Linked DNA regions of Yarrowia lipolytica. The protein of the gene in region 1 purifies or fractionates together with the protein of each later gene. This does not show direct contact. Links are inferred from orthologs where the notes say so. Each region holds a gene or a part of one and is shown in the gene's direction. Other genes may lie near its edges.

Region 1 (2,738 bases):
TATTCGCATAGGACCTGCATTGGCGAGTTTCATAATCACCAACAGCAGTTGTCACAAGCAGAAATTGTGGAAGCGCATGGTCGAGTTGACCGTCAATCAGTTAATTGCCGAGCTTCCATATTATATAATAGTTTTTTTTTTTTTTTTTTTTTTTTTCATCGTCGATCTGAACAAGAGGGATTCGATTCATTGTATCATTATGTAGGTCCTTCTTCCCGCATTGTAGTTGAGAAGGATCTGATGGCGGGTTTGGATGCTCGTCTTGTCTAAACATTTGATCAAAAAGACGATCGTATCAGCCCGAGTAGGAGTGCGATATGACTCCAACATACCCATTGAGACACCATTTATGAATGGTCACGGCAGAGATCGAGGCAGAGATCGAGGCAAGTGACCAGTAGGGCTCCCGTTGCGAATACCCCAGAGCTGCGAAACCAGACAGAAATGGCGTCAATGAGGTCCATCGAACTCATACATGCAATTCATTTACTCAGTATACATAGCGTTATCTGAGCTACTGGAGATTGGCTACTCAACTATCGCTCCATTGATGTTACCAGGGACAGACACACCCTCCAAGGGCCCTGGATCAACTACAGAGATGTTGGCACGACTCTGGTGATTTGTGCTGCCCACTCTGAACAGCTCTTTCTCACAATGGGTTCACAATGGGCCTCCGTGCAATGGAGTATGTGAGATTGTAGTAGCCGCTGGTACTTGTTCCATCCAAGGGGCTTATGGCCAATGTACGAATCTACCGAGGCAAGAGTAAACCAAACTAGTAATCTATCGGTCATTGCCAAACTCGTTTTTTTCTCACCCCTGCCATCTCTAGTGGTGTCAGAGCAATCCGATCTCGTCTGTTGACTCTGACCAGAATGGGACCATGAACAGAACAAGACCGCAGACTTCTCGTAATACTTGTTGGAGTCGCAATAACGGTCATCCAATCAGACAACAATCTCTTGATCCCTTTCGTGACTACGATACTCAGGTGGACCAGAATCTGGCTGAGAAGCTCGTGGGGGGTTTGCGAGGAAATCTCCAATGATCAACATAGTAAAAACAATCAAGACCATCTATACAGAGGTAAAAGATGTAATAGATCAATGAAAAGAGGATGAATAATTCAAACACCACAAACTTGTATAGTTCGTACTTGTATCGTATTCGTACTTGTGGTATTGAGCCTGGTGCCTTGTGTCTGGTGCGTGTAAAAAGGACGTTCCAATGGACGCCATAAAACAGTGTCGAAACGAAGAATGGACAACAAAGTAAAGTCGTTATTGAGAACAAAATGCACTTTTCTGAAACTCCCTATCTTTTATATTCATCTCATTGAACCCGGTTAACCAGGCGTGTACTCGTACTTGTACTTGTAGTGCTCATCCCAGCTCAACCAGTGTCCTTATTGAAAAACTGAAACCGCAGGTGCACACATAATGGCCCAAACCGTCATATACCGTCCCTCAAGTCGTCCAATTATTCAAATTGGCTATTTTCTCGATTTTCTCAATTTTGTCAAAAAAATCCATTTTCCAAAAAATATTTTAACATTTTCCAAAAAAATCTATTTTATTTAAACATTTTCCATTTTATTAAACTCCAAACTCTAAGTAGAAAAAATCTGTAAACGTGCATACGGAAATATCGACACTCTCGCACCACACCGCAAGCGACTCTAGTGACACAAAAAGCAAGAAACAACCATGGGAAGACCATCGCGAATGATGTACAAGACGAAACGTCGAACCCGAGATCTGGACCAGATTCTGCGGGACGACATGAACACGTCGCAGTCGATCAAGGCTCTGCACAACCAGGAGTACGACGAGGAGAAGCCCGGACTGGCGCAGTTCTACTGTATTCCGTGCGCTCGGTATTTCGAAACCGAGTTTGCCAAACAGACACACATCCGGGGCAAGGTGCACAAACGACGGCTCAAGGAGATCCGCGAGGTGCCATACACCCAGGAGGAGGCCAATATGGCTGCTGGAAACAATGTGGCGCGATACCTGGCTCGAAATGATGTTGATAAGAAGCGTCTGGATGAGGAGGAGGTGACCACCATGTTGACAGATCGTGGCAGTCTTGAGGAGGTGGAGCAGGCCAAGGCGGCAAGCAGTTTTGCTCGTGAGCAGGAGGCGTTGCGAATCGCCCGAGAAAAGGAGGCCGAGGAGGAGGACAAAGGGGTGATTCCCGAGACCAAGGATGAGGATATGGCTTAGGAGGCTTAGAAAATCACAGGAATCTGAGCCTGCGAGGATTTGTGATGTTCGTTGGATGCTAGTCATTCGAAACAACTCAGTCATTCAGCCATTTTTCACGGCATTCACTAATCATTCATTCACAAATTACTCAATTCCATCTCTCTGGACCGAGGGATGTAGCATGGGACTTAGAAATCACTCACTGCTGGATCAAATGGATTATGACAATAGCATTATTAACAGAAATGGATAGGCCATGATAGACAATATATTATTGATTACGATGAGCCTCGGACAGAGTGCTATTGGCAGCAGATGGACACCAGATAGTGAGTTTTGTAACGATAGCGAACTCACAGAAAGCCGAATACCTATAGGTGGTTTCTCAGATGGTGGTAATCAGGACCTGAAGAGCCCATTCCAACTTCATTCATCATTCTGAGTGCTCTGTAGCACATCTACCGTGCAAAGTTGTGTATGTTGAGCGTTTTTTTCCATGTGTCTATAACTTTTGCTAGAGACATTCGA
Region 2 (4,942 bases), on another chromosome or scaffold:
AAGTCCTCATTGGGGTTGGAAACCTAACCCTCGCGAGTTGGGAGAAAAACGTGTGGAAAAATTACAAACTCTATTGGTGGAGAAGGGGGTTTAGGGGATTGAAGAAGTGGGTCTTGAAGCGTGGTAGAAGGTTTTAAAGGTGCTATACTCAGTTCTACTCGTTTATTTTATATATTCCTTTTTTTCAAATCTCAAAAATGTTCAATATTGGGCTAGAATGAAAGAATATTTTGAGACCCCCAGACCCTTATTTCGTACTTGAAGTATGCAGGAGTTAGTTGGGTGTTCTGGACTTGATCTCAACAAACGGAATTTTTAAAAGGACTTGGATAGAGGGGAGAATATGTCACATCACACAAACACTACAATAACGGCTTACTTTGAGTATAGAAAATAACTCACTCTATTCAAACTCCCTTAATAGTCACTCAAATCTCTTAGAATACCCTCCCGCTCTTCGTAGACAGCCACTTATAGCCACCCCAATTACACCCCCATCACGTATGGACGTCCTTCACCGTTTACTGTAACCTCCCAACTCAAATTATTTTGTATCACCAAATTCAAGTGGCACCCAGACTTCCATCCACAACAATGCAGTCATTAAAAGGACTTAGGCCGCAGATCTCGCGCGCAAATCCACTCATACACCACAGCTTCTCCCGCTGGACACGATCCAGTCATTATCTAACCTCCGACACTCAGCCCTCATACCGAACTCGACTTTCGCCTCTGTCGCCAATCAAAGAAATCCTCTACTCCGATGTCCACTCGTTGCTGGAACTCAAGATGGTCACAATCGACATCGAATCTGTACGCTACGTTCAGGATTTCATCGGACCCAAATACGAGCTTCCTGAGGCTGTGATCAGAGAGCTTCTGTGCATTTCACATACGCTTACACCTAGCGCTCAAAGAAAGGGCACGCCGTTTCAGACACAAAAGACCCACATTGAAGACACACTGGGATACGGAGCTATCAACTCGCGTGTTCTTTTGGGCCAACATGCATACAAATTTGCTGTTTTCAGCTACCTGACAAAGGTACCCAGTTGGAGTCGAAAGAAGGCCAACCTGATGAACTTTGACATTTGTCGAAGCGGCCTGGCTGACCGACTTACTCGTGACGAGACCCTGGTGCTTGCGTTTGTCAAGAACACGAAACTCATCAAGTCGCTATACGTGCCTCTTCCGGAAGAAAATGCCAACAAGAGACAGGCGTTTAGGAAAATGCATGATACTCACTATGCCACCAAGATGCTGTTTGCGCTAATTGCAAGTATCCATATTGAGCATGGTGGGGTGAAGGCCGAGGAGTTTGTTCATGAAGTGATTTTGGAGGGCTACATGACTTCTGGTTTAATGACTTTGGTTTAAGGCAGTATTGCGTTGAAGATGTCAAAACTCATAGAAACAAACGGCAACGAGCAGGCTGGTAAATCTCCATCTATCCACGGGTTCTTGTTGAGTTGGCCACTAGGACATGTCCCAGACCGAGCCTGAACCGATGGATCTGGGTATGAAACACCTACTTGTAGGGGGACAACAACGATCGGCATGAATGGAACACGACGTGACGGGTAATAGCCACAACAGCAGAAAGGGCTGCACTGTAAATAGACAAATTGTCAATAGTTATTTATATTCAATAAAAACTTGTATACAAAAGGTAGCTCACTGTCGCTATCATTCAAAAGGGCATACCCAAATAAGCTCCATAGCGGTCTATTTATTGACTGGACGTGCAAACAGAGTGTCTTCACAACAACAGTATGTAACTCATCCAGTTTCTTTCAGAAGAGATCGATTGTTTTTATATTAGTAACTAACTAGTGGTTTAAATCACATTACCTTGTTCTCAAACTTTTATCTCTCAAAATATATAAGTAACACGATACAGACGCTCTATCTCGTCCATTTGGAAGCAGATTCGATTTTAGATAGCTTCGATCAATTTTTGAGCTCAAAAATATTCCTATTTGACACCAAAAATGTCTACTATTCAACCTCATCTCTTCCCATATCTATCACTGTCCCACCCCGCCTTCATCAATAAGCTCCCTTTAGCTTGCATAATTTCATGCACAATTTTTAATTTTCTTATCATCATCACCATGGCGCCCAAAAGCTCGTCTACCAGCAAGAAAAAGTCGTCTTCGACCAAGGACGATGGCGAGGTGAAAGAAAAGCCCGTCAAGATCCCCGATCTGTTTATCGTGCGTCCCCAGGGAGAGACCCAAGCCGCCGTGACGCACAACAAGAACATCTACAAGGTTGGATTGCATCCAAAGATTCTCGAGGCTCTGGGTCTCAATAACAACGAGTTTGTGTCTGTGTACCGTGAGGGTGATCGGGGAGTAGGAGGAACCGTTTGCGCCATCCCCGAGGCTGTGGAGGACCCCGATCTTGTCGACATCAACGTGGTTACCGTGAGTGCAGGACTCAAGGACGCAGGAGCTCTCCTGTTTGGAGATCGAGTCAAAGTGGAGAGATATAAGACCAAGATGGACATGGCGAGTTTGGTCAGTGTGCGGATAAACACACCCAATTCCCCTGAACAGGCTGTTATTGATGCTACAACTACCGATCTCAAGAAGCTGGCCATGGTGTCTCCAGGACTCAGTATGGAGGTGAAGATCGAGTCTGGCGAGTACGTGAACGTCACAGTGACAGACGTTGGCGACACAGATCTTGGATCCTTATCACTGGAACAATCTGAGCTCAAGAACCACGTTTCATATTGGTCTCCCTTGTTTCTGCTAGAAGATACACAAGTGGTTGTGTCAACTCGAAACTGCTGGGAGCTACCCAAAACTACTACTTACAAGTCCATCGGCGGCCTGGATCAACACATTGTGGAGCTTAAATCTACCATCGAGCTTCCTCTGCATCATCCCTCTCTGTTTTCGAGGTTTGGCATCTCGCCACCTCGAGGAGTGCTTCTTCATGGACCCCCTGGAACCGGAAAAACTATGCTGCTGCGTGCTGTTGCTCAGGAATCAAATGCACACGTACTCACAATCAACGGGCCATCCATTGTATCCAAATACCTGGGCGAGACCGAGTCGTCCTTACGAGCCATCTTCGAAGAGGCTCGAAAGTACCAGCCAGCTATTGTTTTCATTGACGAGATTGATGCTCTGGTACCTCGACGAGACGGAGACGAGTCTGGACAAGCCGAGTCTCGAGTTGTCGCTACTCTACTCACTCTGATGGACGGTATGTCTCAGTCTGCTTCTGCCAAGATTGTAGTTGTGGGCTCCACTAACCGACCCAACGCCATTGATCCTGCTCTGCGACGAGCTGGCCGGTTTGACAGAGAAGTCGAAATTGGCATTCCCAACGCTGAGGCCCGACTGAGCATTTTGAGCATCCAAATGGCTGATATGCCTCACAATATGTCCGAAGAAGACATCCAGTACATTTCTAGCATTACTCACGGCTATGTCGGAGCCGATCTGAGCGCTCTGTGTCGAGAAGGAGTCATGAACGCCATCAACCGAGGTCTGGAGGAGCATGGCAGTGCTTTGAACGCTGTCAACTCCGGTCTGGAAGTCACCATGCCTGACCTTGAACGAGCTCTGCTGGATGTCAGACCATCTGCCATGCGAGAAATCTTCCTCGAGAAGCCCTCCACCACCTGGAGTGACATTGGAGGCCAGTCTGGAGTCAAGGAGAAGCTCAAGCAGATGGTCGAGTGGCCTCTTACCAAGGCTGATACTATGAAAAACCTCGGAATCACACCCCCTAGAGGTGTTCTTCTGTACGGACCCCCGGGATGTTCCAAGACTCTCATTGCCAAGGCCCTGGCCAACGAGTCTGGTCTCAACTTCCTGTCTGTCAAGGGCCCCGAGCTCTTCAACAAATATGTTGGAGAGAGTGAACGTGCCGTGCGTGAGATTTTCCGAAAGGCTCGTGCTGCTGCCCCTTCCATCATCTTCTTCGATGAAATTGATGCTCTTAGTACTGCTAGAGGACATTCTGAGGCAGGCGCTGGAGGAGAACGAGTGCTCACGTCTCTGCTTACAGAAATGGACGGTATCGAGTCTCTCAACGGAGTCATGGTTCTGGCTGCTACTAACCGACCTGACGTTATTGACTCTGCTCTCATGCGTCCTGGTCGTCTGTCCAGATTGCTGTACGTTGGACCTCCTGACGAGCATGCCCGCCAGCAGATTCTCAAGATCCGAACCAAGAACATGTGCCTGGGCTCCGAGGTGGACCTAGAAGAGATCGCCAAGACAACTGAGGGCATGACCGGTGCCGAAATTGTTGCTCTCTGTGAAGAGGCTGGTCTGTACGCAATGTCTCAGGACGAAGATGCCAAGGAGGTGACCAAGAAGGACTTTGATCATGTTCTCAAGGGAGCTCGAAGAGGAGTGACCGAGGAGATGCTCAAGTATTTTGTTGACTGGGCTGAGGGTAATTCTCCTGCTTAAACATTCGAAAAGGTAAACATAAGGAATTGCACATAGATAAGGATAGAACGAGGTTATAATGACGGTATATAGGGAAGCAATTAATATATGGCATGCTAGACATCAATCGATTACACTTCAGCTTGCATCTTTCACTGTCGGTATGTGTGCTTTTAGTGAATTTCAAATCTATGATTAAATTACATGGCATGGCTATTAACGTATGACTGAAAGTAGTCTCACCAATGTTTCCCCTTCCATCCAAACCCCTTACTGGTTCTGTGATTAACGTCTCACAATGTTGCTCTCGTTTTCAGCACTATTCAACAGAACCAGTGCTCGTCCTCCTGCCACAGCCACCAAATCGCCCTTGGCTCGCACGGCTGCAGCTTCCACGCCAGAAACGAAGTCACAAGCCACCTCAATGGATTTCTCTGTGCCCAGCGAGTAAAATAAAGTCTTCTTGTCGCTCACCACCACGGCAGTGTCGTTACTGACGCAGAACACAGCGCCACTCAGCTGCC
Region 3 (3,011 bases), on another chromosome or scaffold:
ATACTTTGCCATTCCGGATCTGAAGAAGCGAATTGTTGAGCTTGAAGAGGAGAATGCCGCTAAGGAGAAGTCCATGATCAAGGACGTTGTTGGCGCCGACCAGGTAGCTGAGACTGCGGCTCGACTGACTGGTATCCCTGTCACCAAGCTGACCCAGGCCGAGAACACCAAGCTCATCAACATGGAGAAGGTGCTTTCTCGAGAAGTTGTTGGCCAACCCGAGGCTGTCAAGGCCGTTTCCAACGCGATCAGACTGTCTCGATCGGGTCTTGCCAACCCCAACGCCCCCGCTTCTTTCCTTTTCCTTGGTCTCTCCGGTTCCGGTAAGACTGAGCTTGCCAAGAAGCTGGCAGGTTTCCTGTTTGCTGACGAGCAGGCCATGATCCGAATCGACTGTTCCGAGCTCATGGACAAGCACTCCGGCTCCAAGCTGATTGGTGCTGCTCCCGGATACGTTGGATACGAGGAGGGTGGTATTCTTACCGAGGCCCTGATCCGAAAGCCCTACTCCGTTGTGTTGTTCGATGAGGTTGAGAAGGCTGCTCCCGAGGTGCTCACTGTTCTTCTGCAGGTTCTTGATGATGGTCGAGTGCGATCTTCCGCCGGAAAGGTGGTCAACGCATCCAACTGTATCATTATCATGACTTCCAACCTGGGTGCGGAGTTCATCAACCGATCGACCTCGACTACCATTGACCAGTCCACTCGAGACCTGGTCATGGAGGCTGTCAAGGGCCACTTCCGACCCGAGTTTCTCAACCGAATCACCGCTATGGTTGTCTTCAACCGGCTGTCTAAGAAGTCCATTCGACGAATCATCAACATTCGTCTCCATGAGATTTCGAAGCGATTCGAGCACAACAACCGAAACCTCAAACTTCATCTCGATGAGGACGCCATGGACTACCTGGTGGAGAACGGTTACAGCCCCGACCTCGGTGCTCGACCTCTCAACCGACTCATCCAGAACGAGGTTCTCAACAAGCTTGCTGTCATGCTTCTGAAGCACCAGATTAAGGACGGCGAGGAGGTCCGAATCATCCGAGGAGACAAGGGTCTGGAGATTCTGCCCAACCATGACGGCGAGACGGACATGGAGCTGGCTGAAGATTCCTACGATGACTTTGACGACGAGATGGATCTCGACTAAGGTATTTTTTGCTAGGAGGTAGCTAAATATTGTATAAAATAATGAATTAACTGTATAAATGGATCGCTGTATCTCTACAGTAGTGTGTACAGTAACACGAACTGTGGTGGGTAATGATAGAAGAAATGAGAGTAAAACCGAATATTCTGAAAGGGACATTTCGCCCCACCCTTGGTCTGCTTACTAACTGAGTCAATCTCCGATCACAGTCTGAGCCAATGGAGGTATTACAATATATTCCGTAGTAAGTCGATATTCAATTCAAGTATGAGTCCACAAACAGTCGGACTATCTTGTTGTTACATGAATACGATCCGCCACCATACGTACCAAACAGCCTGCCGCAAGACACACACACAATCTACACATATATCGCCACCGGCCCATCACAGTTGCATACTGTCTGCACGTATGACATGACAAGAACTACACGTTGACGAGATCAGTCACAGTATACTCCAGCACGCAGCTGAGCTGCACGGTCATGAAAAAATTGTGCTGCAATGCAAAACATAAAGATAGGCAGTATCCACCGCAAGCCTGAATAACCACACTTCACCCCTTATTCAAAAAAATCAATCAACATAATGGCTACCCGTGCCCAGTTTGAAAACTCTGACGAGATTGGTGTCTTTTCCAAGCTCACCAACTCCTACTGTCTGGTGGCTGTTGGCGGCTCCGAGAACTTCTACAGCTCTTTCGAGGCCGAGCTCCAAGATACCATTCCTATTGTCTACTCCACCATTGGCGGCACCCGACTCGTGGGCCGTCTCACAGCCGGCAACCGACGAGGTCTGCTTGTGCCCTCCACCACTTCGGATGTTGAGCTGCAGCACCTGCGAAACTCCCTGCCCGACGAGGTCAAGATCCAGCGAGTTGAGGAGCGTCTATCTGCTCTTGGAAACGTCATCTGTACCAACGACTACGCCGCTCTTGTGCATCCCGATATCGAGCGAGAGACCGAAGAGCTGATTGCCGATGTGCTTGGTGTTGAGGTCTTCCGACAGACTGTTGCTGGAAATGTGCTTGTCGGCTCTTACTGTGCCCTGTCCAACCAGGGAGGTATTGTCCACCCCCAGACCTCCATTGAGGACCAGGATGAGCTTTCTTCGCTTCTCCAGGTCCCCCTGATTGCTGGATCCGTCAACCGAGGTTCTCCTGTTGTCGGCGCTGGCTGTGTTGTCAACGACTGGATGGCCGTTGCTGGTTACGCCACCACCTCTTTCGAGCTTACTGTCATGAGCAGTATATTCAAGCTCAACAACGACCAGCAGGGCGAGCAGTGGGAGCAGACCAAGTGGTCCCAGCTGTACCAGCAGATGGGTTAAGCACAGCCAGTCTGCTTCTCCTCGTCAACACACTGGTGTGCTGGCTGCAGTGCGAGCTCTACTCAACAGCGAGCATCGCTTAAACTATTATGCATTATGTATTTGGCATGGCCTGACTTCAAAATATGGGTGTGTCTCCAACGGATCAGTATTCCTTTGCATGGCACTATTCGCAGTTTTAATTAGATAGATAATACAAGCTGCCAAGGTGGGATTGTGTACCTGTACCGGTACTTGTAATGAGAGTAGGGTGTGGTATGACAGTGTACTATAACGAATGTCTTTGTAATTGTCTTCCTCCGATGTACTTCAGTGGTCACACACTGCTTATGGAAATAACGTAAGACGTTCCTTAGAAACACGCGCTTGAAGTCACCTCTGTACAGTAGTTTTCTTACATTAAGAAAATCCCACGTTGAAAAATGCTCCAAGCTTCAGCCACTAATGATAAATACTACTGTAGATGAGTTGTATCGTGAAGTCATGAGATCAGTGATTGTTGAAATGTACATGAGAAATCCAAGTAAAGCGGT
Region 4 (3,783 bases), on another chromosome or scaffold:
GGGGACTAGCACCAGTGAGCCCAACGTGACCGCAAAGTATGGCCACACGTCCGACTCTTCGTCATAAGAGTACGAAGGCATTTTTGAGTCTGTGTTGTGGAAAGAACCAAAGATGTGTGATGTACAGTCTGTAGATGACAACTGTGGTTGGGAGTGTGACGTGTAGTTAAAGTAAGGTTTGGCAAAGTAGATACAGTAGGTGGAGGAGGAGTAGAAATGGCGAACAGACTGGAGTAATTTTATGGGAATAGGCGGTGTTGTTGTTTTTTTGGTCATGTGTATTGTCACGTGACTTGATTTCACGTGACTGTTTGTTTCTGAGGCTCCCTCCTTCCCCCTTATACTGTGGTCAATCGCACACTACTTTTCAAGGGTAAGGGTTGCATTGTAGATCAAGAACAGGGTGGAATAAAAATATAAAATATAAAAAAGTGTGAATTTATATAGTTCAGTTTATTATTCATTGTAGCTCAGATGGACATGGAGCTGGGGACAGAAGGCGAAAACACGAGTTCCTGAGAATCAATTGTGACATGACCGGGTCTGGGAAGTCGTGTGACCAAATGTATAACACATTACGGCCGCACTTGTAGACCAGGTGCCCCACATCTCCACGCCGTTCCGTCCTCCTCGTCCTCCTCTTCTTCATCCTGCTTGCAATGGCGGCGCGCGCGTATGTATGTATGTACTGTACTGTACTGTACTGTACTTGTAGATGGGCAAGTTTTTGCTGTCTGAAGAAAAGACGAGAGCAGGACGAATTTGCGAGTCATGCAGCGGGGATGGAATACGACGAAACAGTCCTAACCTGTGTTTTTGACGTAGGAATCACATCTCATAAGGTGTTTTTCCAGCGTGATTGATTGACTTTTCCGAGGAGGTTTGAATTTGGATTAGTACGAGTATGTGAGTGTGTATAGGGAGAGTGATGGAGACCTGGAGAGCGAACTTTTCCAGGGTTATATGGTATCTTATTGTTTGAAATGGCCAACTTATTCTCCTTATGAGTTTTTTATTGGAACCGGATCAACTTTGACGGAGTTTGTCCAGTCTTGATAGTGGGTGTATAGTACAGTGTGAACCCTACAACTGTATGTAGGTTTGTACTGTATTTACATTTACTATGGTTGACGTATGGCTATATAATGAAGTCTTCGAGTTATACCACCCATTTGGTATTCTCTTCAATTAATTCAGAGCAGGACATTTATCAGCTCGTCGCGTTATCAGCCATATTTCAACTTGCATTCTTTTCTTTTTTCACGCTTTTTTCTCGCTTTTTTCTCGCTTTTTTCTCGCTTTTTTCTCTCTCGACTTTTTTGTTTTTCTTTTTATTTATTTTTATTTATTTTTCTTTTTCTGGTTAACCCTGACAATATTTCAACTACGAGTTTAAATCTAGTGGAGACTGAAACTGAAACTGATCTTTTACTTGGGGAAATGTTTGTTTTTGGGCGTGAAAATTGATACCCTTGATATTCAAGCGTCAAATAGCTGAATTATTATCCCTCTTTTGACTCTAGACACGTCCCACTGCTTCTACAAGGACATTTGGCGCAGGTCTCGATTCTCATGCACAAGCAAAAACTACACTTTTTTAAATTGGCGTGCATTTTCATTTTCGTTTCACCAGTACCACCACAAACAATGAGTTATCGAGGACGCGGACGAGGCCGAGGCGGCTACAACAATAGCGGCGGCCGCGACAACAACAACAACAGCAACAACAGCAATCTGACGGACATTGAGGTCCGAGGGTGGACGAACGCGCCTAAGGACGATCTTGTACGGTTTCTCCAGGACAAGGGCGGGTTCCGGTTGCAGAACCCGTACGTGGATGGCGACGTGATCAAGGCCCGAGTCAAAAACACGGACGCCCGTGCGATTGGACAATGGTCCGGGCGCCGGTTTGCAGGCCAGGCTCTGCAAATCACAGTCAAAGATGGACCCTCGGCTGCTGCGCAGTCCACGATCGAAACGCTCAAACGGTTCCTTGAAAGCAGATACAGCGCCGAGGACAAGCTGCTGAACCTTGCAGGCATGGGCCAGGACCAGTATCTGATTGAGAATGGCCTTTTGGCCACCACTGAGCGAGGATCAAAGATGTTTCTGGCGCTGCTCAAGATTGCAGGCGACACCTACCCCGTGGTGGACTCGGTGGATCTGGGCCACAACAGCATCAGCGACATTGCCGGCATCACGACGCTGTCTCAGACGTATCCGGAGCTTAAGAATCTGTCGCTAGCCAACAACCAGATTGCCCGCATCACCGACCTCGAGTCGTGGAGACACAAGTTCAAGTCGCTGCGAGAATTGGTCCTTGTGGGCAACCCCATCACCAACCAACCCGACTACCAGCAGCAGGTGGCGCAGCTGTTCCCCAGGCTCATTGTTCTGGACAGCCATGTGATTCGAGACGAGTCGCAGATTGGAAAAGTCAAGTACCCCATCCCTCTACGGCAAACGTTTTTTGAAAATGACAACATCCAGCAAATGGTCGGCGGCTTTCTCGCCAACTACTTCCAGCTCTACGACACAGACCGACAGCAGCTGTTGCAGCTGTACGACCCACAATCGACTTTCTCGGTCGCCATCTGCTCAAACACACCCCGAACAATGGTCAAGGGTCTCGGTCAGCCTCCCTGGGGCCAATACATTCCGCTGTCACGAAACATGACCAAGGTGACCACAGCCTCGGCTCGAACCAACCGACTCTATGTGGGTCCTGAACAGATTGGAAGAGCCTTTACTCGCCTGCCTAAGACGAAACACGATCTCGGAGACCCCTCAAAGTTTGCCATTGACGCATGGACTCTCAATGGTGTGCGAGAGCCGCAAGACACAGCCATTTTTGCGTCTGTGCACGGCGAGTACGAGGAAAACATTATTGGCAACAAGAGCGACACCCGGTCGTTCGACAGAACGTTTGTGCTTCTCCCTGGCCCCAACGGAAGTATGATCATCGCCTCCGATACTCTCATGGTCAGATCCTACGCCGGAAAAGACGGATGGACCAGTGCAGCCATGACTGGAGCAACTGGTGGAGCTCCTGGGGACGACTTTGCCGGTCTCAACCCCGATCAGGCTCTCATTGTCAGACAGCTCATGGAAGCCACCCGTCTAAATGCAAGGTACGCGCGAATGTGTGCTGAGCAGGCCGGATTTGTTCCGGAACAGACCATGGCATTGTTCAAACAGGCCCAGGAGGGAGGCTCGTTGCCCCCAGATGCGTTTATGTCTTAACCGGGGCCCAACCGTACAGGAGACAGGAGGCATTCGTGTGTGCATTATGAGACAGCAAACAGAGTACCGTATGTATTACCGCATACACTACGCTCTCACAAGCATGTAGTTAATTTGAAATGAATGAGCATATCCTGCCAAACATGTAAAAGTAATTTATTGATCAATTGAAACAATCTTTGGTGTGAACATGTGTGAGTAGTTGTAGATAGGCAAGTGAAGCGATCCTAGACACATTTTTATGTGGTCACGTGACCTAATTTGGATTCTGGATCAAGGATTATCTCTACAAGTACTGTACTTGTAGTATGTTTCATTTGGCTCCGTTGTACTCGATTAGTTCAACTTTTTGTATAGAAAGTTGTAAATATATATACACCAAAATGATGCTTGTGCTGAGAGCCACACAATTGTGTATCTATATTTCCATTCTGAGCAATTTTCTTTCGTCTACTTGTAGATGATTTGTGACCCTGGTCTTACAGTGTTCAAGGGTCACAATCTACAATCCGTATATTAGAATAAATACACACTTTGGTG

The links.
Region 2: the proteins of YALI1_D16206g (region 1) and YALI1_E08021g purify together in Saccharomyces cerevisiae (affinity purification with mass spectrometry; 4 studies listed by BioGRID, with this or other methods). This does not show direct contact. The link is inferred for Yarrowia lipolytica from reciprocal best matches to the Saccharomyces cerevisiae genes BUD20 and AFG2.
Region 3: the proteins of YALI1_D16206g (region 1) and YALI1_E33024g purify together in Saccharomyces cerevisiae (affinity purification with mass spectrometry; 4 studies listed by BioGRID, with this or other methods). This does not show direct contact. The link is inferred for Yarrowia lipolytica from reciprocal best matches to the Saccharomyces cerevisiae genes BUD20 and TIF6.
Region 4: the proteins of YALI1_D16206g (region 1) and YALI1_A18286g purify together in Saccharomyces cerevisiae (affinity purification with western blotting; 4 studies listed by BioGRID, with this or other methods). This does not show direct contact. The link is inferred for Yarrowia lipolytica from reciprocal best matches to the Saccharomyces cerevisiae genes BUD20 and MEX67.

What each region holds. Positions count from the first base shown.
Region 1 is NC_090773.1:1,619,621-1,622,358, reverse strand, and holds YALI1_D16206g (uncharacterized protein), read left to right. Parts: upstream 1-1,709; coding exon 1,710-2,228; downstream 2,229-2,738. UniProt on the Saccharomyces cerevisiae protein: Involved in pre-60S ribosomal particles maturation by promoting the nuclear export of the 60S ribosome. Involved in positioning the proximal bud pole signal.
Region 2 is NC_090774.1:799,191-804,132, reverse strand, and holds YALI1_E08021g (uncharacterized protein), read left to right. Parts: upstream 1-1,991; coding exon 1,992-4,439; downstream 4,440-4,942. Other genes in the region: YALI1_E08035g (uncharacterized protein), read left to right, coding at 595-1,377; YALI1_E07984g (uncharacterized protein), read right to left, coding at 4,704-4,942. UniProt on the Saccharomyces cerevisiae protein: ATP-dependent chaperone which uses the energy provided by ATP hydrolysis to generate mechanical force to disassemble protein complexes.
Region 3 is NC_090774.1:3,301,118-3,304,128, reverse strand, and holds YALI1_E33024g (uncharacterized protein), read left to right. Parts: upstream 1-1,737; coding exon 1,738-2,478; downstream 2,479-3,011. Other genes in the region: YALI1_E33056g (uncharacterized protein), read left to right, coding at 1-1,150. UniProt on the Saccharomyces cerevisiae protein: Binds to the 60S ribosomal subunit and prevents its association with the 40S ribosomal subunit to form the 80S initiation complex in the cytoplasm. Is also involved in ribosome biogenesis.
Region 4 is NC_090770.1:1,827,020-1,830,802, forward strand, and holds YALI1_A18286g (uncharacterized protein), read left to right. Parts: upstream 1-1,572; coding exon 1,573-3,243; downstream 3,244-3,783. Other genes in the region: YALI1_A18273g (uncharacterized protein), read right to left, coding at 1-276. UniProt on the Saccharomyces cerevisiae protein: Involved in the export of mRNA from the nucleus to the cytoplasm.